7 linked regions of the Mus musculus genome follow. The protein of the gene in region 1 purifies or fractionates together with the protein of each later gene. This does not show direct contact. Links are inferred from orthologs where the notes say so. Each region holds a gene or a part of one and is shown in the gene's direction. Other genes may lie near its edges.

Region 1 (4,239 bases):
GAGTTACAATGCTTGCTGACAGACACCCCGGGCTCAGTTTTAAACCAAATGACTAGCAAGGCCACACAGCATAGTACTGACCAGAGTTCTTAACAATAATAACACCATGCAGGTCCTACTGGCAGATGCGGTGCCAAGCACCTAATTAGCATCCAATCACTAAACGAAGCTATTCAATATATTCGTGTTCATTAGAAAGAAATGGGGGCTGGAAAGATGGCTCAGTGGTTAAGAGCACTGTCTGCTCTTCCAAAGGACCTGGGTTCAATTCCCATGGCGGCTTACAACTGTCTCTAACTCCAGTTCCAAGGGGCCTGCCACCTAGACACCAATGCATGTAAAATAAAGCTAAATAAGTTTTTTTTTAAAAAGAAAGAAATGAATACAAATCTACCCCTGCATAAGATATTGGGACACAACAGAGGGTGAAATGTGTTCTAAGAATCTAGGGCACCCGTTCAAGTTAAGCCCTCCCCTTCCCCTCAAAGTTGAGGGGGAGCCTGCACACTCCAGAGCCCAGAACTTAACCATTTGACCTATCATCTTTACTCCTGTCAGGAAACATCTGGGGTTGTATCACGACATTTAAAGAAAACGGGGGTGGGAGAAGGAGGTTGAGCCTTTACTTAACTCCCCGCTTAACTTCCAATGGGACACAGATAACTTATATCCTTCCCGGAGGGGACACCGAGGCACGAGACCGGAGGAGCTCGCCCCCGGAAAGCTAACACCGGGGAATGCAGGGGGCCCAAAGCGAAGCCGCGCGACCACTTCTGCTCAGGGCGGAATTCCGGCTTGGACCCACCGGGACCGAGGCCCTTTGAGAGCCGGGGTGCAGGCCGGGCCGGCCAACTCTAGGACACGGACTTGGGGCGAGCGGCCTCCTGCCATCCTCTCCGTTAGCCCCGGTCCTTCACGTGATCCACTACAGACCCTAGCCAACCACACTAGCCCGCTTCCTTACGCCCCCTTGACCCCGTACCCGCAGATCAGGGTCTCGGTCTCCCGCTCTCTTCTAGAAAAATGGAGGAGCGAATCGTGCCCGATCGATCGCTCGGAGTGCACACCCAGTGCGCACGTGCAAAGGGCATGCAGCCGAGCGCCGAGCATCCCTGCTCCCTCGCAAGTCTGCCCTTCTCGCCATCTTACTCACTGGCACGTTCGAGACGCTCATTCACCGTCTCCGAACTAATCACCTCCGCGACTGCCTTGAATCCAAAGGGCTGTGTGTGACTGGCGAACGCCTGATCCTGGGGAGCACGGCGGGCGATAGAACGGCCGCAGATCGGACGGGCCGTTGGTGCACCACTTCCGGGCTCCGACAGCTCAGTGCGCCTGCGCCCAGCTACGGCAGGGAACGAGCTTCCCATAGTCGCGTTTACGGTGAGCCAATCACAGAACGGCATTGCTCCGGCTCTAGCCAATCAGCTCTTGGAGTAGAGGGTTTGACTCCTATTTTAAAAGGAGAACCTTTGAATTGTAACGGCTGAGCTACCGGGATCGCTTGGAGGCTTCGGTCGGGAGCAGGTTCCTGCCTGTGAGTTGGAAAGGGACATGGCTGTTGAGGGCGAGCCTGGATGCTGCAAACGGATAGGGAAGGCTGTGTGGCGTCGGGGTAATGGACTGTCTCAGTGGGTTTGCATTCTGTTTAAGAAAGGTCCAGACGTTTAAGATTTCCCGGCTTGGTTTTAGGTTCTTGTGGGAATGGGGATCCAGACCATCAGCTAACCGAGTAATTTGCAAACCGATGGTGGATGCGGGAACTGCGGCTTATTGGGGACTGCTTCGGGTGGAGAATCAGAGTCTAAGTCGACTCGACGAGTCTGTGGATGAACGGGAGTTCCCTCGTAGAGTGCCCAGGACTGGTGCTGCTCTTCCCGCAGCCTTCTGAGCAGTTTATGTCGGGACTACTTGAGGGTCTGTTTCAAAGCGCAGACCCGCTAAAGCTCAGTTTGTAGAATATTCCAGAAGTTTTAGGATTGAACACTGCCTTCGTGGTGGCCGCCGCTGTTTATTCCAACAGTAAGGTGGTGGAGGCAGGATCAAGTCAAAGGTCATCCTCAGCTACACAGTAGGTCCGAAAAACCAGCCTAAATTACATCCACATACGTCCCTACCTCAACACCTCCATCCCCACCACACACACACACACACACACACACACACACACACACACACCTAAATGTGTGGTTGCTTACATCAGCAGTCTGAGGCAGGAGGTTAGCCTTCGATTTAAGGCCAGCCACAGCTAATAAGTGAGAGCCTGTCTGGGGATGTAGTTCAGTTAGTAGGGTGCTTGCCTAGCCAGCCCTGGATTCCATTCCCAGCACTTGGAACCCCGAGGATGGTGATGACCTCTGTGGTCCTAGCACTGCGGAACTGCAGGCGGGAGGATCAGGAGTTCAGAGTAATCCTCCACCGTATAGCATGCTCAAGGCCAGCCTGGGATCCATGGAACTCTTGTCTCTACCACAAACATAAAGGTTAGGTGTGGTCTTGCATTCTTTTAATCCCAGCCTTTTGGAGGCAGAGGGAGGAACTCGGTGAGTTCAAGGCCAGCTTGGTCTACCTACATAATGAGTTCCAGAACAGCCAGGACTACCCAGGGAGACCCTGTCTCAAAAAAAAAATCCAAACCTAACAAACAAATCCTGGCTCCACTGCAAATACAGGAAATAGAAACCTCTTAGGGATAAGACCCTGGTGTAGCTATTATGGGAAAGCTAAACTGCAGGGCTGGTTATTAACCTTGGTCTGGGGCCCAGGAGTGTGAGGTAGCTGCAACTGCAGTCCTTTGCTCAGGGCTTCTGCCTCCTGCCTAGCTTCCCTGATCTGAAAAGGGGAACCCTGTGGCATGTGCAACTTTCTTGTAGTAAATCTTTGAGCTGAGTGAGAACCATCAAGGTCATTTGGTGTAGATCCGAAGGTGAAGGACTTGGACTCCTCCTAAAAGAAAGGCTCTTGTTTCCTTTTTCAGGTGACATGGACAGATGTAAAGAAAACTGTGTCTCCAGGCCTGTTAAGGTACAGAATTACCTGTATTTACAATTTCGGCTTTTAAAAGATTTATTTCTGCCGGGCGTGGTGGCGCATGCCTTTAATCCCAACACTGGGGATGCAAGGAGGCAGAGGCAGGCGGATTTCTGAGTTTGAGGCCAGTCTGGTCTACAGAGTGAGTTCCAGGACAGCCAGGGCTACACAGAGAAACTCTGTCTTGAAAAAAACTAAAAACAAAACAAAACAAAAAGCAAACCCAAAACGAAAACAAACAAAAGATTTCTTTGCTTATTTTATGACTATGAATGTGTCTTCATGCACACTAGAAGAGGGCATTACAGATGGTTATAAGCCACCATGTGGTTGCTGGGAATTGAACTCAGGACCTCTGGAAGAGTAGCCAGTACTCTTCATCGCTGAGCCATCTCTCCAGCCCCCACAATCGGTATTTTTTAAATGATGTGCATTTTGTTTGTGTGCACCTATGCATATGCCACTGTGTAGGTCAGAGAGCAACTTGTCAGAGTGGGTCCAGAGACCCTAACCCAGGTCCTTAGGCTTGGCTGTAAAAGACCTTAGTCCCTGAGCAAATCTGTACAGTGCTCGTGGAATCGAATCCTTTCCTCCGTGGCTTTGGGTAGAAACTTTAGGTTGACCCTGCCTGGAGGCTACCTGAGCCTCTGTTTCTTCAGGAAATGGCTCTGCTGTGGAAACCTCAGACCCTCTGAGCTCATGGTGGATCCTGAGCGCCTCATTTAAGGAGGAGGGAGTGCCAGCGTCTCTGAGTGTGATTAGTTTAGTCTTAAGATCTCGTTAAGACTGACACAACACAGATCATCCCGTGCAGTAGTGATTGTTTTCAAGGCCTCCGTGGTCTTCTTTGTCCTTTTTTTCCTATTGAAAAACATAATTTCTATGCATTTTAGTTTTGGAGATAACATTCTTAAAAAATATTTCTGTTGGGTGGGGCTTGGTGGGCACACCTCTAATCCCAGTATTTAGGAGTCAGTAGTGGGCAGACTGAGATAGAGGCCAGGCTGTTCTATATTGTGAGTCTGGGACTGGCCAGGATTACACAGTGAGACGTGGTCAAATAAGTGCTGTGATAGAAAGACCCAGGGGATGGATGATCTGAGAGAACGGCAATACGCCCTGGAAGCCCAGCATAACCTTAGATTTAGACTGTTTTTTTTTTTTCAAAATTGCTTGAGGATGATTCTATCGTCTTTTCTCCTAAACGTA
Region 2 (3,500 bases), on another chromosome or scaffold:
GTTAGAAGAAAAGATTTACAGTGTCTCTCCTTCCCTTCGTTGTGCCTGCTGGGAAAGTGGCAGTAAGGGGTAGGAAAATACCCTTATTTTCACATGATTAATTTAAGGGATTCTATAAAATAGGTTTACAGCTTTCACTGAAGCCAAGCTTTAGTGAAACAGACACATTCACCATGTAACAGAACAATTCTTACTCGGTAAATCAGGCTGATGAAAGCCTGTCGTTCAGTAAAGACCAACTGAGATAGTTAATACGAAGTCTGCCTTTAAAGGACCCATTAGATTTTCATGCTCACGAGAGGCTTTTAAGTAAAGAGTATTGGCCGACAGAAACCCTGGGTCTATATCTATTCTCTTGGGAGATAGACCTTCATTTACTGGTGCCACCTCATTGTTGATCTGTGACCCAGCTGTGTTGAGTGGCCCACCTAGGTGTGTTCATTCTTGCTTTGTCATTCCAGGCATGTCTAAGGGATTTACTGGAACATGCATAAACCTGTGTCCTCCCCACCCTTCTCCTCAGGTGCTCTACCCCGTGTGCCATGTGCGGAATCTGATGCTGTGGAGCGCAGTGTACCTTCCCTGCCCATCCCCATCTACCCCCACAGATGACAGCTGTGCACCATACCCAGTCCCAGGCACTAGCCCTGATGAGCCCCCACTGAGCCGGTGAGCCCAAAGCTGATGCCACAAGTCCTAAGTCCTGAATGGTGCTCTTCTTTCTTAAGTGGTGGTATCCCCTCTCCCCTGCCTTCTGCCCTTCTTCTCCCTCCCTTCCCTGCCTCCAAGGCTGACCTTAGACTTGCAGTGATGTGTGTGTTCGAGTTACTGGCCTGAACCACGACATCTGGCTGAAGTTTAGTTTCTTAAGAAAGATAGTAAGCCTTATTTCTGAAAATGAATTGGACCTGTCCCTACATTATTCTGCCACCTGCACTGAGCGGTTTTTCGGTAGTGGAGCACATCTGTGGAGTCTTTGTGGACTTTGGTTTGTTCATACCCTGCTCCCTGCTCTGGTTAGTCTTCTGAAGCTTGAAAGTCAGATGCTATAAGATGAGAGAAACTGGTTTTGCAACTTGTGAATATGCTTTATTAAGAACAGAGTGAGAGATAATAAATGAATTTAAAATGTCTAGTACAAAGGACCAGCAAGTTCCTTTGCCACTACCTGAGAGGTGTAGACCATTTCGAGGGATGCCTTGTGAAGGCTACAGATGCATGAAGCTATGGGTTGAGCCCCAGTTTTGCATAACCTGACCTGGTGACACATTCCTGTACTGCCAGCACATTGGTGGTAGAGACAGAAGGATCAGGAGTTCACGGTCATTGCTAGGCCAAATAGAGAGTGTGAGGCCAACCTGGAATACATGTGTTCTTGTCTGAAAAAAATCAAAAAAAATAAAGAGAGGAAAATGTAAAAGGATGCCTTCTAGAAATAATGTATGCTGGTAGCTTATGTGGGGGTGGGGATTGGCAGTGAGGAAGTGCAGGCAGTACCTGTGGAGAGCCGTGACGCTCTAGGAGTCTGAGCCTCATTTTAGAGATGTGGCTGCGATGGCCCAGTTGTGAAACAGTAGCTTATGAAAAACCTGTTGTCCTCTGGGGCCCTCTAGATCGCCTCTCAGATTCTCATTTTCCCTAAACCCTTTTCTTTTTAGGCTACCCAAGACTAGATCATTTGACAATCTGACCACAACCTGCGAAAACATGGTGCCGCTGGCCAGCCGGCGCAGCAGTGACCCCAGCCTGAATGAGAAGTGGCAGGAGCACGGGCGCTCGCTGGAGCTGAGCAGCTTTGCCAGCGCTGGGGAAGAGGTGCCTGCTATGGACAGCCTGCGCAAGCCCAGCAGGCTGCTCGGAGGTGCTGAGCTTTCTGTGGCAGCCGGAGTGGCTGAAGGGCAGATGGAGAACATTTTGCAAGAGGCCACCAAAGAGGAGAGTGGGGTAGAAGAGCCTACCCACAGGGGGCACACTGAGGTGCCAGAGGTCAAAGAGGAGGCACCCCTAGCAAAAGAAAGTAGCATGGCGGCCGAGGGCCCCGTTGTACTTTACCAAGAACCACAGCTGGATGACGCTACTTTAAGAAGCCATCAAGGCCCCAGCCTCTCTTTGTTCTCCCAGGGTATTCCTGAACATCAGGATGGGCACAATGTCCTCTCTAGTTCACTCCAAGCTCCTCTCAGGGGAGAGGACTCCCAGGAGGTCCCTGTAGAACAGCCTCAAGTAGAGAATATTGCAGAGGACAGGGAGAATGTAGCTCCTGCTGTCCCAGTAGATGCAAAAGTTGGCCTTGGTATCTCACAGTCTAGTTCTCTGCTGCCTTCCCAAGTCCCATTCGAGACAAGAGGACCACACATCAACAACTCCGTGCACATGTTACTCGAAGATAAGGTAAAGTCAGAAAGTGGGCCCCAGCTCCATCACAGACCTTGCCCAGCAAGCAGTGGTAGATTCAGTGGCAAGGACATGCTTCCTGTAGCACCAGAGCCCAGGTCTGCTGAGAGGCCCCAGTGGGACTCTGTGCTACACAGGACTTCATCCCCTGGCAACACCCTTAGCCTGCTGCAGGCTCCTTGTGCCTTGCCGTTAGATAAATGTAGACAGGGAATTGTGTGCAACGGTGCCCTAGAGACTGAAAACAAGGCCTCAGAACAGCCTGCAGGGTTTGACACCCTTCAGAAGTACCCCACACCCAATGGGCATTGTGCCAATTGGGAGGCTGGGAGGAGCAAGGACTCACTGAGCCACCAGCTGTCTGCCACAAGCTGTAGCTCTGCTCACTTGTACTCGAGGAACTTGCACCACAAGTGGCTGAATAGCCACTCAGGGAGGCCATCCACTACCAGCAGCCCTGACCAGCCTTCCCGCAGCCACCTGGATGACGATGGCATGCCTGTGTACACGGACACAATCCAACAGCGCCTGCGACAGATAGAGTCTGGTCACCAGCAGGAAGTGGAGACCTTGAAGAAACAAGTCCAGGAGTTGAAGAGTCGCCTGGAGAGCCAGTACCTGACCAGCTCTCTGCGCTTCAATGGAGACTTTGGAGATGAAGTGGTAAGTTAGGTCAGGATTCCTTTGAAGCCTTCCAAGGAGACGGCACGCAGAGGCCAGCAAAATAACCCTTTGCACCCAGTGCATGGTTATTGAAACAGACTTCTGAAAGGATTAGAAAGGTCTCAATGTCGAGAGAGATTGTTTGGGAGTTGGCCTTGGCCATGGAGACAGCAGTCCTCCTCTTTTCTGCTGAGCTGGCTTCTTATTCCCTTGTAGGAAGTTAAGAAAAAGAGGTGAGTTAATATGCATGACAGGGGAATCAAATCTCTGCAGAGGGTCCCTGTGTCAGCCAGGCTTTGTGGCTCATGCCTGTAATCAAGGGAGGCTGAGGCAGAGCATTTCTACAGGTTTGAGGTTAGCCTGAGCTACATAGTGAGTTCTGGTCTAACCTGGACAACAAAGTGAGCACCTATCTCAGTTCACTCTACCCCAAAATAAAACAC
Region 3 (3,500 bases), on another chromosome or scaffold:
TTACCTGAGTCTTAGCATCCTTGGTACCATTTGTTCAGTCCTGCCCTTGCCCACCCTTCTATTTCTCACCGATAACTCTGTCATCCTGCCTTTCTCTTCTAGGTGGAAGCTGCCTGCGTTCGAGATTATCACACGTTCGTGTGGTCCTCAGTGCCAGAAAGTACAACTGATGGCTCCCCCACCCATGCCAGTGTCCAATTCCAAGGTATAAAGAAAGATGGAATGCCGGGTAGTGGTGGCACACACCTTTAATCCCAGCACTTGGGAGGCAGAGGCAGGTGGATCTCTGAGTTCGAGGCCAGCCTGGTCTACAGAGTGAGTTCCAGGACAGTCAGGGCTACACAGAGAAATCCTGTCTCAAAAAGCCAAAAAATAAAAATAAATAAATAAAAAATAAAAAAAATAAAGATGGAGAAGCCAAAAAAGTGGTGGTTTGGGGGAAGGCGGAGGGCTAACAGCCATAAAAAGCACAGAGGATAAGGAATATGAGAGCACATAACTCCTAATTGCCACGCCTAATGGTACTCCAATGTCATCCCAGCTACCAAGGAGGCTAGGGCTGGAAGATAACGTGAACCCAGGATATCAATGCTGGCTTAGGCAACATGGCTGACCCCGTCTCCAAAAGGGGGAAAAAAAAAAGACTTTGTGAGACTGTGTCCAACAGAGTTCAGCAAGTTATCGTAGGGTCGGCACCGGTAACTTAGAGGATACTGTAGAAAGATAGAGGATGTTAATCCCATTCATTTACACAACGAAAGAGGAACTCCCAGTATAGGACAAGGGAAAGTGTGTGCTAATAGCAGTCTGAGCGACCTGGATTCAAATCTCAGCTCCCTGCTTTACAAGCTGTTTGGCATTGAGCAGGTAAGTTAGAATAGGGTCCCAGCTTGTAGGATCCCTACAGAGATTTTTACATGACCTGGGGAATGCTGAATGTGTGGTGTGTGGTGCATGCCAGCAGACAGTCAGTGCCAGCTAGAGTCAATGTGATGAAGAGGAAGACCGGGTATGAATAAAGCAGGTGTCTAGACAGGAAGGAGGAAGGACCGTATCCCAAGGACCGCCACAAGGGAGTGGACAGTAGGTAGCATGGGGATACTCGTCCTCCTCAATAGGAACAGGAACCTGTTAGCACTTGAGAGCCAGAGATCATACTGGGTTTCTGGGCTATTCTTCCCACAGCCAGCTACCTGCCCAAACCAGGAGCCCAACTCTACCAGTTCCGGTATGTGAACCGCCAGGGCCGGGTGTGTGGGCAGAGCCCCCCCTTCCAGTTCCGAGAGCCAAGGCCCATGGATGAGCTGGTGACCCTGGAGGAGGCTGATGGAGGCTCTGACATCCTGTTGGTTGTCCCTAAGGCCACCGTGCTTCAGGTAAGAAAAAAAAAAATTGCAGACTTGTTCCAGGGCCAGGGACACCAAGGACAGCATTGCGAGAGCCAGCCTTTTCAAAGGGTGGCTGCCTGCCCTAAATCCTACAGGAGAGCCACAAGGTGGAGGAAAACTGCCTCAAGCAACCCAGGGAGGAAAGAGTGTGGGCACAGCAGGGCTCGAAACTGTCCCATTCAGTACCAAAGGTGCTGACCACATAGGGCTCTTTGGCACTTCAGGTATGACTAATCCAGTTTGAGGTATAATCACAGGAAAGATAGCATACTGGATTTCAAACACTTTGTATCTCAACATTTATTTATTTAGTTGTGTTTATCTGGGTATGTGTAGATATGTATATACGTAAGTGCTTGCATGCCACAACTCGTGTGGAGTCAGAAATCAGCTTGAGGGAGTTGGTCCTCTCGTCCTTTTCAGCGTTGGTTTCAAGGATCCAGGGACCAAGCTCAAGTTTCCAGGCTTGGCAATAAGTATTTTATCTCATCAGCCATCTTGCTGGCCTAGCCGTGGTACTTTTAACTTCAATCCCTCAATTACCTTCCCCAGCCCAGGTGTGTGTGCGTACGTGTGGATACAGAGGCCAGAAGGTTGTGTGTCATAGGATACTCTGGAGCTGGAGTTACCGGTGGTTGTGAGCCACTTGATGTAGCTGCTGGGAACTAACCTCTGGTCCTCTCCCAGAGCGACAAGCACTCTTGACTGCTGAGCTGTTTCTGTGGCCCTCATATACTTCTTATTAAAGTGGATGCTAGAAAATTCAAACTTAAAAAATGTGCCAGAAAAAATATATAAATATTTCCACCAGGCCAGAGAAGAGTCTCAGGAGCGAAGGCAGATACTACAGAGACAGTGAGGGATAGGCGGGAGGCAGTCCATCCATTCTCCAGACGGGAGAACAGCTGCTCAGCAGGTGAAAACTGGTAGCTCCTCAGAGATTTGGACCAGTCTCCGCTCTCCAGAACCTGAGCCTGATAAATACATGGACCAACATGATAGGAGGGATAACACAAGCTTCTACCCAGTGTTCTGGTCTTACATTGGTTATTCTCATTTAAACCTCACAGATGAGGAGTTTAGTGGTTTGGCTAGTAAAAACTGTATCTCAGATTTACTCAAATCTGTCTGACTCAATAGAGATAAGGTAAACTTAGAGGAGGCCCCTTGTCACTGTGCCCTGTCAGAGGAAAGTGCCAGACCTGGGCTGAAAGGTGATTGAGGGCCGGCAGTTAAGGTCTGGGCCATGCTGACTTGGTTTCTCTGCCCCGAGGTGTCTATAATGGTGCTTGCGCGCGCGCACACACACAACACACACACAATGGTGCTTGTGCGCACGCACACACACACACACACACTCTCTCTCACTCTCTCTCTCCCCCCCCTTCTCCTGCCCTTGTAGAACCAGCTGGATGAGAGCCAGCAGGAGCGGAATGACCTGATGCAGCTGAAGCTGCAGTTGGAGGATCAGGTGACAGAGCTGAGGAGCCGAGTGCAGGAGCTGGAGGCAGCTCTGGCCACGGCCAGGCAGGAGCATTCGGAGCTCACCGAGCAGTACAAGGTGGGAGTTGGAGCTGGTGGGGGTGGGGGGGCCCAGACCCAGCAAAGAGGAGAAAGGAAAGATGTCAGTGGAGTTTTTAAGATGGTCCTTGCATGGAGGAAATAGGCTTAAGGGTAACAGGTGAGACTAAGCTTTGAATGATAAGAGGTACATCCCAGTTTGTAACAAGACTCAGTTCTCTGCATCCAGGAATGGTGGCGTAATGCCACATTCCCAGGCAACAGCGCCTCCACTCAGCTTTCCCAAGGAAGGTGGCAGGACAGAGGCGGGGCATACGTATAATGGTAAGCCTGAGCCTGTCCTGACCCTCTGTCTCTTTTGGTGGAACCTTGATTCCAGGGGCTCTCCCGGTCCCATGGGGAGCTCTCAGAAGAGAGGGACATCCTGAGCCAGCAGCAGGGAGACCATGTGGCCCGTATCCTGGAGTTAGAGGATGACATCCAGACCATGAGTGACAAAGTGCTGATGAAGGAGGTGGAGCTGGACAGGTAGGGGACCTCCCTAGCCTGAGGGTGGCCTCTGTCCCCAAATCCTCCATCCCATCCCCCTGG
Region 4 (3,500 bases), on another chromosome or scaffold:
CACACAACAGACTGAACTCTGCAGTAACGCTCTCACACAACAGACTGGTCCAAGAACTTTGCATATGGTAAGCAGGAAAAATAACCGTTGGTTAGAATTTTTGTATGTACTTTGAATAATATTTCTATTGGGAGATATTCCTAGGAATTTAGTTTCTAGATGAAAAGCCACAAGTGCTCCTTCCACTCCAGTGATTGTGCCAGCCCCACCCCTTGTGCCACCATGTTAATTTTTCTCCCATGGCAACTACTTCCTTCTCATCTACTAATCTGATTTTGAGAAATAATTTCCTTTTTGAGGGTACATGAGGTCTGCCTCAGCTCAGATCTCCCAGCCCCAAGTTTCTCAAGTGTCTAGAATGACAGGAACACCCCACCACACTCAGCCTCAGAAAGAGTCACTTGTTAAACTCAAGGGCTAAAGGCTCCAAATGATAAATGCTCCCCTCATTTCAGCACCCACCTGGTCAGCCAACTTTGACGTCCCAATGGAAACCACCCATGGTGCTCCCTTAGACTCCGTGGGATCCGATGTCTGGAGCACAGAGGAGCCAATGCCAACTAAAGAGACAGGCTGGGCTTCCTTTTCAGAGTTCACATCCTCCCTGAGGTGAGCAGTTGTGTGTTTTCTTAATGTCTGCAGAGGGAGGCAGGAAGTGCATGTGCCTTGGCTCAGCTCTGAGGAACGACTGAGACTGAGCAGAGGGTTGGGCCACACTGACCCAGCTGAGCGCCACAGCAAAACCGGAAGCTGCCCTGGGAAGATGGCTCCAGGGTGCTTAAGCAGGAGAGAAGGGAAGATGATACCTGGAGAGCTGTGGAGCTTCAAATGCTCCACGGGTGGATTGAGGGGAGTAAGAGTGGGTGCCTGACCAGCCCTTGTGGGAGGGCACAGCTATAAGGCCGAGTCTGACTTTGCTGTGGATGTGAGCTTGTATTTCACTTGCCACCATCTAGTGCTATAGAGTGCCAACAGATCACTGTCGTTGCCGGTCCTGGTGTTTGTTTTACTCAGTCACAGAGACCTTATTTCAGAATTTTCCTGAATAGCTTTGTCAGCATTTGAATACTAAGTGAGGATTTCATGTTTCACTTTGTATAAACCAGGTATGTTCACACTGCTGACATCTGATTTTTCTCTTTTCTGAAAGCACAAAGGAGTCTTTAAGGAGTAATTCGCCTGTGGAAATGGAAACCAGCACTGAATCCGTGGACCCCTTGACACCTGGTGCAGCTGCCTTGGCCACTCAGCCAGAGGGTGAGTGCAGTGTGCTAATGTGTTCACAGCAGGTAGGAAAGGCTAGACCAGGCTTAGGCTCAGACCAAAAGGAGGCAGGAAAATAAGAAAGTGGCTCTGATGTCCGTTGGTCATCACAGGAGAAGGGAGAAGAAACTATCTTGACAACCACAAAACAGGGGTTCCAGAAGGAGTTGGGTACCAAGTGTGAGTCCTGTCAGTGCTGAGGATAGGTAGATGTCTTAGGGTTTTACTGCTGTGAACAGACACCATGACCAAGTCAACTCTTCTAAGGACAACATTTAATTGGGGCTGACTTACAGGTTCAGAGGCCAGGCAGGCATGGTGCAGGAGGAGCTGAGAGTTCTACATCTTCACCTGAAGACTGCTAGCAGAAGACTGACTTCCAGGCAGCTAGGATGAGGGTCTCAAAGCCCACACCTGTGCTAGAATATCCCCTGGAGTTCTACTGAGGCACATGGGGGTGGGAACCTGGTCTAGGTTGTGGGCCTGGGTTTTCCTCCCTATATGAAGTGGTCACAGGTGTCTCAATCCTAGGGGACTGTATCATGTTCAGAATATTTACCTTGTGCTCCTTGGACTGACCTTGAGCCATTTGCAGACTGCAGAAGAGCCTTTTGGGAGAGTGTGATATTCGCAGAGTATGGTAGGGATGGGATGTGTGTGGAGGCAAGAGCTTCAGGAAAGAGCAAAGCAGCAAGTTTCTGGGAAAAGAAAGAGGAAGTGAGCAGAGGCCTCAGGACATAACCAGAAAAGTGATGGGGACATCATCACTCCAAACATTGTTGCCTTGTATTCCAGTTTGAGTTTGTTGCTGTGATAAGACAAGAAGCAACATAGAAAAGAAAAGGCTTCACTTAGCCGGGCGTGGTGGCACACGCCTTTAATCCCAGCACTCGGGAGGCAGAAGCAGGTGGATTTCTGAGTTCGAGGCCAGCCTGGTCTACAGAGTGAGTTCCAGCACAGCCAGGGCTACACAGAGAAACCCTGTCTTGAAAAAACAACAACAACAAACAGCTTCACTTGACCTCCAGCTGCAGGTTATTCAGTTCATCATCTTAGGGAGCAGAGCAGGAACTCAGCCCGCTGGCCACTGCCTCCACAGTCAAGAGCAGAGAGAGCACATGCACCACCTTGCTGGCTGCTGTCTGCTCAGCCAACTTTCCTCTCTAGTGCACAGCAGAGAGCCTGCCCCACAGTTGGCTAGATCCTCCATCAGTTAACATCCATATAGTCCCCCTCGTCCCCCCCAAACACCTGATAGAGTTTTATTCAGCTGAGACTCTAAACTGTAGCATTTAAAATGCCTTTGTAGCTGTTTTGATGGCTAAGGAGCTAGAGGCACAGAGTGGTCTCCTTTCCCTGGGATTATACAGATTTGGAAGTTGGGATGGGGATACTGGGTTCAGATCTAGAAATCTGACAAGTCCAAGCTCATAACCATTGAGCATACCATGTGGCTTTTATTGTAGATTAAAGGAAAGATCCCGGGGCTCATTCTCCTGTGTTGTAGAGTGGGTGTAGGAGCAGTGGGAGAAAGCTGGGACCATATGGACACAGCGCTAGGAAGGGTCTTTGGAACTTACAGCTCTCCATTGAGGAAAACCTATGAGGGAGCCACCCTGGTGGGCATTTATAAGAGCCAGGTGCCCATTAATAATGTAGCCAGGCAGAGCTGCTACTCTTAACATCTTGAAGTGTACGCAGGACTACGGCATGGGGGTCTGAGTAGAAAAGAGACTGAGCTCCAGGGTAAGTGTGGTAAATGTGACTGTCATCCACTGTGTGCACTTTCAGCACCAGGCAGTATGGCCATGGAAGCCAGCTCAGATGGGGAAGAGGATGCTGAGAGTACAGACAAGGTAACTGAGACCGTGATGAATGGCGGCATGAAGGAAACACTCAGCCTCACTGTAGACGCCAAGACAGAGACTGCAGTCTTCAAAAGGTAACCAGAGCCTGGGACTCCTACAGTGACAGCTTGTCGGGAGGAAATGGGGAAGAAACCCAACATGAACATGTTTAGATTCAACTGAGTACTCATAGGCTAACTTGTTATCTTTCTAATATCTCCATTAATGTTAACCGAGAGATGGAGAGTTTGGACCCCTAAAGTGCATTTTTCCTTATGTGTGTTGTCTTCAGAGTCTAGCAGATTGTCAGTGTTCAGGTATTTGACACAGCTTTGCTCATGCTAGAGCCTGACATGAACAGAGGCTGCAGATGCTACCTGTCTACCCAAG
Region 5 (2,855 bases), on another chromosome or scaffold:
TAGGCTTTACACAGGGGTTGTTTTATCCCGTGGATCTGAGGATGCACTGTGTCGGCCATGCTGTCAGAGTGAGTGCAGTTCATGTTTCAGTGACAGGGCGACTGGGGGGAAGAGCTTCCGAAAGGGTTCCTCCGCCCAAAGAGTGCTAGTCTCTAACCTCGTCCCCGCGCTGCTCTTGCTGGGTGCTGAGGGGTGCCTTTTCTGAGAAAGGCAGTTACTTGGTTACAGGTGATTGTGACCATGTTTATCTTGCAACTCTAGATTACACCTAAGTTCTGTTCTGGTTTGCAAGGGTTTTCCCTTTGCTGGCATCAGGTCCTTGTCTCTGGCTCTTGGGAAGGTGGCTTTGGAATGCCCACTGCCGTGAGTCAGGTGCACCTGGGCGTTGGTTACGATTGTGAAATAGTAAAAGGCAGCTAAGAGAAGCCAGTCTGGGGTAGATAGTCTTTGAAGGTGCCCTATTTGACAAGTCACTTTTCTTCAATAGCTTAGGAGATCCGAGGAGGATGAGGAGAAAGAAGAGGATATCGAAGTCCCCAAGGCCATGGGGGACATTTTTGAGTCTCTTGCTGGTGCCATTTATATGGACAGTGGGATGTCTCTGGAGGTGGTCTGGCAGGTGTACTATCCGATGATGCAGCCTCTAATAGGTACAGTGCGGGCTCTTTCCCCCTGGTGTATACAAGAACACTATTTAAAATGCTTCTAGGGCCTTTAGTCACCTTATATAATCTATTGTTCTGATTATAGAAAAGTTTTCTGCAAATGTGCCTCGTTCTCCAGTGAGAGAATTGCTCGAGATGGAACCAGAAACTGCCAAGTTTAGGTAAGCAGGGTGTGTACGTGAAGAACTAACATATCTACACTCAAGGGTTCTCAAGAAACCGTAGCTACTGAATGAGAGCGCCTGCATGGCCTGCATCCTCTCAGCGTCCACGTTGGTGTGACCGGCTGTTCTTCCCCTTTTTGTTTTCATAAAGTGAAACTGAGGGAGGGAGGGAGGGAGGGAGGGAGGGAGGGAGGGAGGGAGGGAGGGAGGGAGGGAGGGAGGGAGGGGAGAGCGGCCTATGTGTGCTAAGGCCTGGTACATGGTCAACTCATAAGAGGGACTCAGCCCAGGAGGACTGGAGGTGTCGACTGACAGTAATAACAAATACTTCTGATTCCTAACTCAAACTGTCTGGGGTTTTGCAGCCCAGCGGAGAGAACTTATGATGGAAAGGTCAGAGTCACCGTGGAAGTGGTGGGAAAGGGGAAATTTAAAGGTGTTGGCCGGAGCTACAGGATCGCCAAGTCTGCTGCAGCACGAAGGGCCCTCCGCAGCCTCAAAGCTAACCAGCCTCAGGTTCCTAACAGCTGAAGCTTCCGGACTCACAGGCGGCAAGACAGCGGACCAGAACCACAGCTCCACGGCACAAGGATGGTTCGGGCTGACACAGAACAGGAAAACTGAAGGCAGAATTTAAAGTTTGATAATGAGATAGATAACAGAATAAAACATGTAATATGTGTATAAACTCTTTGGAACTAATTTTGGTTTAGTTTTTGCGCAGACACAATCTTGTCTTCTTTACCCACCCTGCTTTGCTTAGTCACAGGAGTGCTTTAATCCTGGTGTTTGTTAGCAAGGTTTTAAAATCATTTTGACAGGTTTTTGGTTTTGTTTGTTTTGACATTTAATTTCTGTCGACTTTGCTTGGTGTTAGAGGCCATGGAGCTTAACCTCTAACAGTCCCTAGAACTGGGTCGTCCTGACCTTGCGGTCCCTTACACTATACCTGTCCTGCTGCGGTGTCAAGCCCAACAAAAAGGGCAGAGTGTGCAAAGGAAGCCCCCGTGCTGTGGAGGGCAGTGGAGGCGGGGCCGGGCGGACCCCGGGTACTATTGCACGGAATAGTAAGGGACAGATTTTGAGTCCGTGTTGGCTGCTGGTGAGTGGAGGCCAGGCTTTCAGACGCCACATTGTGCTGCAGAGAGGATTCTTGCCTTAAAAGGAAGGACTTGATAGTTTGCTTTTTTATTTTGCCTTCCCCTTATTATGCATTGGATGAAATGGGGTGGCAGCTCACTAGGGCACTTGCAATGGAACTATTGCAGGTAGGATTTCTGTTGTTTGTACTGAAGACATTCTAAAACCCAGAGTGAGTATATAGATTTTTAAAGCATCATTATAGACAGGATACATGACTAGATGCCCGGTTTTCCTCAGAACTTCCTGCCAGGTGGTCCCAGTGGCGGAAATGCCCGGTCAGCTGCTGTTCTGACGAAATGAGCCTGAGATGCAGTGTACCTAGACACGCCACAGGTCTGTACTAGGCAGTGTTGCCAGAGTCACCAAAGCTGTGCTCTCTTTCCTATGGGGTCAGCATTGTGGCAGACTGCCAGGACCAACCCGTCTGGGGTAGAAGTCACCAGTTTAGATAAACTAGGTCATTAGTTCATCTCAGACTCAGAAAGTAAAGCTGTTTAGGCATTTGCTGAAGGTCTCGCCTGGGCTTGTGGGCCCCTCTTCACTTACACACCTCAGTCCCTCCCTTTGCCTGCATTTTCCCGTTGGTGCTACGTTTATGTATCATGCTTGAAGTTTAATTTTTTGCACTGTGACTATAATACCTCTTAATTTACATTTAAAAATGCTGTATGGGTTGCCCGTGCCCTCCCACCGACACACAGGAGAGCTTTGCTGCAATTTGCCCTCTTACGCTTGAAGTCTCAGCAGGCTGAGCCAGGGTAGCTCGCGTTCCCCACACATCTCCTGAGGCTGATGCTTCATGTAATGCTGCACTTAGGTTCAAGTCACCCGCCCGAGAGAGAGAGAGAGAGAGAGAGAGAGAGAGAGAGAGAGAGAGAGATGC
Region 6 (3,500 bases), about 130 Mb from region 1:
TTTTATGTTTATGGGTGTTTTGCCTACATGTATGTCTGTTTACCACATGCATGCTTGGTGCTTGTGGAGGCCAGAAGAGAGTGTCAGATCCCCTGGAACTGGAGTTACAGATGTTGTTAGCAACTATGTGGATGCTGGCAATAGAACTTGGGTCCTCTGGAAAAGCAGTTTTGCTCTTAACTACTGAGCCACCTCTCAAACCCTATTATGATTTTTTAAAGCTATTTTCTAAATATTGGTATATTACTGGTCTAAATCAGACATTAGTTGGAAGTGTAAATACTATTTTGTATACGTAGGGTTTTTTTTTCTGTTTTTTGTTTGTTTGTTTTGTAAGGGGTCTTACTATGTTGTCCTGGCTGACCTGAAGCTCTCTAAGTAAACCAGGCTTATCTCTGATTTATTGTATTGACAACAGAATCTCTTACCGAGCCAGAAACTGGGTTTCAGTAGGCTAGCCATGTGGCTAGCTTCCAGGCGCCACCTTCTCAGGCCCCAGTGTTTGTTAGAGGCAGTTGCAGCCATCTTTTTACATCCACATCGGGATCTCAAAGTTCCTCAAGCTTACAGAGAAATAACTCCTGTTTTTAAATCATTCCTTAAGAAATTATGTTTTAGGACTGGAGAGATGGCTCAGCAGTTAAGAGCACTGACTTCTCTTCCGAAGGACTTGAGTTCAAATCCCAGCAATCACATGATGGCTCACAACCATCCTTAATAAGATTTCATGGGGTGTCTGAAGACAGCTATACAGTGTACTTACACATAATAAATACATCTTTAAAAAAAAAGAAATTATGTGCAGCTGTTTATTGTTGTTCTTTTGGGCTATTATGCTATTGTACAGTTTGTAACTGTAAACTTTTACTTTACAGGGTGATTTTGTAGACAGAGGTTACTATAGTTTGGAGACCTTCACTTATCTTCTTGCACTAAAGGCTAAGTGGCCTGACCGTATTACACTTTTAAGAGGAAATCATGAGAGTAGACAGATAACACAGGTGTATGGATTTTATGGTAAGACCTTCTTTTCTCTGATTCTGAGTGGTGTGTTACTTTGGGGGAAGTTGTATAAGTCATATATGTACTTTGTTTTGTTTTTTGCTTTACTCCACATTTTCCCAGTATGAAAATCTTGCCATATTGTGAAAGGCTGAATGCTGTTCCTAAGGCTGTGGTATACATTGGTTTTTTTCGAGACAAGGTTTCTCTGTGTAGCCCTGGTTGTCCTAGAACTCACTCTGTAGACCAGGCTGGCCTCGAACTCAGAAATCCGCCTGCCTCTACCTCTCAAGTGCTGAGATCAAAGGCGTGCGCCACTACTGCCTGGCTGGTACATCTTTTCAAATTAGTGTAAAAAAAAAAAAAGAATGTAATCTTAAATTTCCCACTTTGGAATCACTGACTGCTTGTTAAAAATGCATATTGTGGGTCTATGAGGTGACCTAGTGGGGAAAGGCACTCACTGCTAAGCCTGATAACCATAGTTTGTTTGCCAGGGCCCACATGGTGGACTGAGAGAAACTGACTCTTAAGGTTATTCTCCAACCTCCACATGTGCATTCTGCAGCATAACTTCCAATATACACAGAGAATGAATAAATAAAAATTTTTTTAAAAAATTACTATATTATCTTTAATCATGTTTAGATGTTTGTGTGTGTGTGTGTGTGTGTGTGTGTACGTGCGTGCGTCACATGCATGTAGGTTCAGGTGTTTTTAGAGTCCAGAGGCATTGGATCCTCTGGAGTTCCAGTCATGAGTTGCCTGATGGGGTACTGGGAATTGACTCCAATCATGGTTCATTCTTAACTGCTGAGCTATCTTTAAAAAAAAAAAAGTAAGCCTGGCGTGGTGGCGCACGCCTTTAGGCCCAGCACTCAGGAGGCAGAGGCAGGCGGATTTCTGAGTTTGAGGCCAGCCTGGTCTACAGAGTTGAGTTCTAGGACAGCCAGGGCTACACAGAGAAACCCTGTCTTGAAACCCTACCCCCCCCCCAAAAAAATGTAGATTGCTGGATGTCACTTCAAACATTGTAATCAAATTCAGCATAGGACCCTGGAATCTACTGAAGGTGGATGCTGTACACATTATACACTGGGGTTTTATCTGCACATGCCCCCTCCACACGCCTTCTCTCCTCTTCTTTGTTTTGGTCAGTGTGGGCGATTGAATCCAGACCCTATGTATTCTGGGGCTGGTATTCTGCCACTGAGTTGTATCCCCAGACCTTCCTTAGTGCTGTGTTGTGTTCTTAGCCAGCTTTCTTACTTCCTTAATCTTTTGGTGGTTTTGTTTGTTTTTGACAGGATGTCTCCATAGAGACATAGAGGCCCAAAGTGGCCTAGAAGTCACTGTCATCCTGGGAGGCCTTGATGCCATGATCCTTCTATGGCTGTCTCCTAAATGCTAAGATTTTGGAATGTTTGGAAAACATGAGATTTCTTGAGGATAAGACAGAAATCTAAACACAGTTATGTTTTATATGTACAATATATAATTTTGTTATATATTATAAAATATAATTTTTATACATTATCTATAATATATAGTCTGAAAGTAATTTTGTATAATACCAATTGAGTATCTCTAATCTGAAAATTCACACCCCCAGTCATCATCTGTAAAGTCTGAGACTTAGAGCACCACTGGGACACTCAAGTTCAGATTGTGGATCTGACACGTGAAAGTTTCAGATTTTCGATACTTTTGTTTTATGTGGGGGGGCGCATGCCCAGGGCATACAGACTAAGCACTTTGTCAGGAAGCTACACCTCAAGCCCCAAACTGAAATCTGAAATGCTATGGGACACAAACCATTTTTTTTTTTTTTCTTCCTTTTTCTTTCTTTGATTCTGGAACTTTGAGACAGGATTTTGCTACATGGATCTGGATGGGCTGGAATTGTCTGCTTGGCCAGATTGACCTTGAACCTTTCTGGCAGTGTTACTGCCAGCCTTAGTCCCTCCCCTAAATGCCTGAGCACTCATAGGGGAAGAAATAGTTCAGATAAGGCATATGAAACATTTGTTTGTTTATTTGAGACAGGATCTCATTCTGTAGCTCAGGCTAGCCTGGAATTCACTATGTATCCCAAGTTAGCCTCAAAAGTTCAGTAATTTTCCTAAGTCAGTCTCCTAATGACTGAACATTTAGTTAGTTAGTTGCCTATTTATGGACAGGGTCTCATTCTGTAGCCTAGGCTGGTCAAAAAGTCAGTATCTGGTCCATAATGACCTTAAAATTTTGGTAATCCTTCTGCCTTAGTCTTCCAAATTCTGGGATTATAGATGTATATCCTCTGTTTGTTTGTTTGTAGGTTTTTTGTTTTATTTTGTTAAGTCAGGATCTCCCTATCTAGCTCTGGCTATCCTGAAGCTATGTTTATCAAGCTGACCTTGAACTCAGATCTGTCTGCCTCTATGTCATGAGCATTGAGATTAAAGGTGTGTGCCACAACGTGCTTGTTTTTAAGGAATATTGAAATAAGCATTTAAACC
Region 7 (3,500 bases), on another chromosome or scaffold:
CAGGGTGCTGGTCCAAATCCCCGTCCCCTCAGAGCATGGAGGTGTTCATGGGTGGTGACTCACTCCCTAAGCCATGTTCACGGGACCTGCTTTGTGCTAAGTACTGTTCCAGGTGTTGATGACCTAGCAGTGAGCAGAGACAAGGATCTGCCCTCTAGAGCTCTAGACTGCATGAGAGACAGACCACAACCCACTAGCTGATTACTAGCTGATTGTTGAGAGGAAAATGCCTGCAGGGATGTTAGAAAAGAAAACAGGGAAAGCTATATCAGAAGGCCTCCCTGAGCTTGAGACCAAGCGGAAGTAATGATACCCATGTATAGGAACACTAGCAAGGGCCGAGGTGCAGCAGAGATGAAGAGTCAAGGAACAGCAGAGTTGTCATGGGCCCAAGTGCTGGGTGCAGGGGGGCAGGAAAGGGGAAGGGAAGCTCCAACAGAAGCTGCACCACCCCTTGCATCTTAGGGAGGGAGCTGATGTCATAGGGACGATAAAGAGATGTCACTAGATGGCATACACAGGCCAGGGAGGATGGCAGACATCTGTGGGCTTGTCAGGCTCACATAGAAGCCAGGTGGGTGCCACACGAGCCTGTAATTGCAGCACTTAGGGTGCTGAGGCAGAAGGATTGCGAAGTAAGGCCTGAGCTATACAATGAGATCTTGTCTAAGAAAACAAAAACAAAGTGCAAAAACAGGATTGAAACGAAGGAGGAGCTAAAGCCATACAGTCTGGGCATGGGCTTGCTTCCAGAAGCCATGCCAGCTCCTCAACCCATGTTCAGGCTAGTTAAGCGTATCAGAGACTGGCTGGAGAGAGAGCTCTGTGTGTAAAGTCCTTGCTATGCAAGCATGAGGACCTAACTCCAGTCCCCAGGACCTACATAAATAGTTAGGCATGGCGACATGCTTATAGTTCCCAGTGTGAGAAAGGTAGAGACGGGAATCCCTGGGGGGCTCATTGGCCAGCCAGTCTACCCTAACTGGTGAGCCCCGGGTCCTAGTGAGGGACCCTGTCTCAAGAAAATCAGCCAGGTAGCTTCTGAGGAGTCACACTGAAGATTGACCTTTGACCACCACATGCATTCACGCACACACAGAGTAATAGAAACATTTCAGTTGTTGGGGTTTCTAGAACACTCAATGAGCTATATCTGTGCCCTGTCTACCAGGGTCCACCCATGAGCATAGCTCTTCTTTAGTTAGGCCAAGCCTGTACCATTTCCTGCATCTGAGTTTCAGGACTGTGTTACAGGTGGATAAGGTCCTGGAAAGCTCACTCCACACTGGGGGAAGGAAGCAAAAACCTCGATTCTGGGTCTGCAGTGTTTGGGTTTGGTATTGAGGGAGGAGGAGACCTCTGCTTTCTTGTTCCATTCCCTGAGTGCCATGCTGGGCACACAGGCTACAGTGGCTGTGTAGGAACTGCTGGCTCTTGTTTCCCCAGCCTTGGGGACCAGGAGTGGCTAGAATGGCAAGAGCACAGTTCTTGGTGGAACCAGTGACGACCCCTTTGCTTGTCCCCAGGAAGTCCCTGAGTGCTCTGGCCTTCTCCCCAGATGGGAAGTACATAGTGACAGGAGAGGTGAGTCTTGACTGAGCAGGTGGGAAAGGTCTGGGGGCCATTCCTTCTGCTTCCAGCAGGCTTGGCAATCTCTGAATTGGCTCCTGATTTTAGATAATCCCTGTGGCAAATAGGGGAGGTGGCTTTGGGAACAAGTCACAGCAGTGCCAACTTCTAGCCCTGTCTGTGTCTCAGTTAGGGTCTTACTGCTGTGAACAGACACCATCATCAAGGCAACTCCTGTAAGGACAACATTTCATTGGGGCTGGCTTACAGGGTCAGAGGTTCAGTCCATTATCATCAAGGTAGAAACATGGCTGCATCCAGGCAGGCATGGTGCAGGCAGAGCAGAGAGTTGTACATCTTCATCTGAAGGCTGCTAGGAGAAGACTGGCTTCCAGACAGCTAGGATGAGGGTCTTAAAGCCCACACCCACAGTGACACCCCTTCTCCCAACAAAGTCACACTTCCTAATAGTGCCACTCCCTGGGCCAAGTGTATACAAACCATCACACCCTGCCTTACATATAGTTCAGCAATAGTAATGGCCTCATCCCCTCTGCCTCCCAGAATGGACACCGGCCAGCTGTGCGCATCTGGGATGTGGAGGAGAAGACTCAAGTGGCAGAGATGCTGGGCCACAAGTATGGTGTGGCCTGTGTGGCTTTCTCACCCAATATGAAGCACATCGTGTCCATGGGCTACCAACATGACATGGTCCTCAATGTTTGGGATTGGAAGGTGAGAACCGAGTGGGCAGGTGGGCAGGCAGGGAGTCACTAGCACCCTAAACCTTGGGCATTAGGGAGCACTACCAACCTATTGCCTGCTGTTGCACCATGCTTACAGTGAGGCTTCTGTCCCTGAGGTCACCTGGTGGCAAGGCAGAGTTTGGGTCATCATGTCTGTTGGTATAGGGAACAGATCAGGAACCGAGTAGCCACACTGAAAGGTTAGGACAGAAGTGCTATTTTTGTGTTGACTAGCTGTGGCCGTGCACAAGCGCCTTGACTATTTTTTCGCCTGTAGAACGGCTTTCCTAGCATCTACCCTTGGCTATGTGAGCTCCAGCTCCCTGACACGCACTCTAAGGCTGGGCTTTGGCACAGCTATAGCAGGACTTGAAGTCCTGGTTCTGCTTCCGACCCACCATGTGACTTTGAACACAGCCTGGCAGGGTGGAGGAACACTTCCCTCATGAGCTGGCATCCACAGCTATGAGGGGCTCAGGGCAGGGCCCAGAGCAACAGCCCTTTGTGTGGTAGCCATAGATTGTGTTCTCCTTACCACCAGCTGTTACCATTCCCAACATGTGGCTGCAGAGCTTGGCCCTTGGTGGGAGTTCTGAAACTTACTCTTCCTGGGACCTTTCTCTGTCTGCTCCTCTGGAGCCTAGGAATGACCAGAGTTGCACAGTTTTCCTTAGAGTTTAGACCACTGCCAGGTCCAAGAACAATGGGAGAGAAAGCAGGGAGAGCCCAGTATGGATGGGTGGATGGTGCTGTGAACCGCTCTGTGCCTACTCTTCCAGAAAGACATTGTGGTGGCTTCCAACAAGGTGTCATGTAGAGTCATCGCTCTCTCCTTCTCTGAGGACAGCAGCTATTTTGTCACCGTTGGGAATCGGCATGTGAGGTTTTGGTTCTTAGAAGCCTCTACTGAGGCCAAGGTGAGTTTTTGCACCCATTATGGTCAGGTCTCAGAGGGTCACTAGCAGCATGCTCCTATGTCTACCTGAGACTTGGAGGCGGGGTCTCCCAGGTCACCCAGCTTCTTGGGCATAAAAGTGCTGACTAGTAATCCTGCTGGACTCTGCCTCTAGGCCAGAGCTCACTGATGGACTGCTGCCTCCTGGCCCCTCTGCCCTGAGTACGGGTTCTGCTTTTCTTCCTTCTCCTCCACATGGAAGACCCTCTTAAAAGCCCTCCTTTTCAGCT

What was found.
Region 2: the proteins of Aurka (region 1) and Mtmr3 purify together in Homo sapiens (affinity purification with mass spectrometry; 3 studies listed by BioGRID and IntAct, counting the BioPlex papers as one, with this or other methods). This does not show direct contact. The link is inferred for Mus musculus from reciprocal best matches to the Homo sapiens genes AURKA and MTMR3.
Region 3: the proteins of Aurka (region 1) and Calcoco1 purify together in Homo sapiens (affinity purification with mass spectrometry; 3 studies listed by BioGRID and IntAct, counting the BioPlex papers as one, with this or other methods). This does not show direct contact. The link is inferred for Mus musculus from reciprocal best matches to the Homo sapiens genes AURKA and CALCOCO1.
Region 4: the proteins of Aurka (region 1) and Ppp6r3 purify together in Homo sapiens (affinity purification with mass spectrometry; 6 studies listed by BioGRID and IntAct, counting the BioPlex papers as one, with this or other methods). This does not show direct contact. The link is inferred for Mus musculus from reciprocal best matches to the Homo sapiens genes AURKA and PPP6R3.
Region 5: the proteins of Aurka (region 1) and Dicer1 purify together in Homo sapiens (affinity purification with mass spectrometry; 4 studies listed by BioGRID and IntAct, counting the BioPlex papers as one, with this or other methods). This does not show direct contact. The link is inferred for Mus musculus from reciprocal best matches to the Homo sapiens genes AURKA and DICER1.
Region 6: the proteins of Aurka (region 1) and Ppp6c purify together in Homo sapiens (affinity purification with mass spectrometry; 4 studies listed by BioGRID and IntAct, with this or other methods). This does not show direct contact. The link is inferred for Mus musculus from reciprocal best matches to the Homo sapiens genes AURKA and PPP6C.
Region 7: the proteins of Aurka (region 1) and Wdr62 purify together in Homo sapiens (affinity purification with mass spectrometry; 3 studies listed by BioGRID and IntAct, counting the BioPlex papers as one, with this or other methods). This does not show direct contact. The link is inferred for Mus musculus from reciprocal best matches to the Homo sapiens genes AURKA and WDR62.

What each region holds. Positions count from the first base shown.
Region 1 is NC_000068.7:172,367,771-172,372,009, reverse strand, and holds the start of Aurka (aurora kinase A), read left to right. Parts: upstream 1-1,439; 5' UTR 1,440-1,537; exon of another isoform or gene 1,538-1,554; coding exon of another isoform or gene 1,555-1,615; intron 1,616-2,977; coding exon of another isoform or gene 2,978-2,982; coding exon 2,983-3,024; intron 3,025-4,239. UniProt on the Homo sapiens protein: Mitotic serine/threonine kinase that contributes to the regulation of cell cycle progression.
Region 2 is NC_000077.6:4,486,791-4,490,290, reverse strand, and holds part of Mtmr3 (myotubularin-related protein 3), read left to right. Parts: intron 1-523; coding exon 524-669; intron 670-1,658; coding exon 1,659-3,057; intron 3,058-3,500. UniProt on the Homo sapiens protein: Lipid phosphatase that specifically dephosphorylates the D-3 position of phosphatidylinositol 3-phosphate and phosphatidylinositol 3,5-bisphosphate, generating phosphatidylinositol and phosphatidylinositol 5-phosphate.
Region 3 is NC_000081.6:102,715,679-102,719,178, reverse strand, and holds part of Calcoco1 (calcium-binding and coiled-coil domain-containing protein 1), read left to right. Parts: intron 1-102; coding exon 103-205; intron 206-1,185; coding exon 1,186-1,376; intron 1,377-2,790; coding exon 2,791-2,949; intron 2,950-3,288; coding exon 3,289-3,437; intron 3,438-3,500. UniProt on the Homo sapiens protein: Functions as a coactivator for aryl hydrocarbon and nuclear receptors (NR). Recruited to promoters through its contact with the N-terminal basic helix-loop-helix-Per-Arnt-Sim (PAS) domain of transcription factors or coactivators, such as NCOA2.
Region 4 is NC_000085.6:3,464,250-3,467,749, reverse strand, and holds part of Ppp6r3 (serine/threonine-protein phosphatase 6 regulatory subunit 3), read left to right. Parts: intron 1-455; coding exon 456-609; intron 610-1,150; coding exon 1,151-1,257; intron 1,258-3,054; coding exon 3,055-3,205; intron 3,206-3,500.
Region 5 is NC_000078.6:104,690,098-104,692,952, reverse strand, and holds part of Dicer1 (endoribonuclease Dicer), read left to right. Parts: intron 1-487; coding exon 488-650; intron 651-750; coding exon 751-826; intron 827-1,194; coding exon 1,195-1,360; 3' UTR 1,361-2,855. UniProt on the Homo sapiens protein: Double-stranded RNA (dsRNA) endoribonuclease playing a central role in short dsRNA-mediated post-transcriptional gene silencing.
Region 6 is NC_000068.7:39,202,350-39,205,849, reverse strand, and holds part of Ppp6c (serine/threonine-protein phosphatase 6 catalytic subunit), read left to right. Parts: intron 1-875; coding exon 876-1,017; intron 1,018-3,500.
Region 7 is NC_000073.6:30,270,411-30,273,910, reverse strand, and holds part of Wdr62 (WD repeat-containing protein 62), read left to right. Parts: intron 1-1,526; coding exon 1,527-1,584; intron 1,585-2,133; coding exon 2,134-2,304; intron 2,305-3,094; coding exon 3,095-3,232; intron 3,233-3,500. UniProt on the Homo sapiens protein: Required for cerebral cortical development. Plays a role in neuronal proliferation and migration.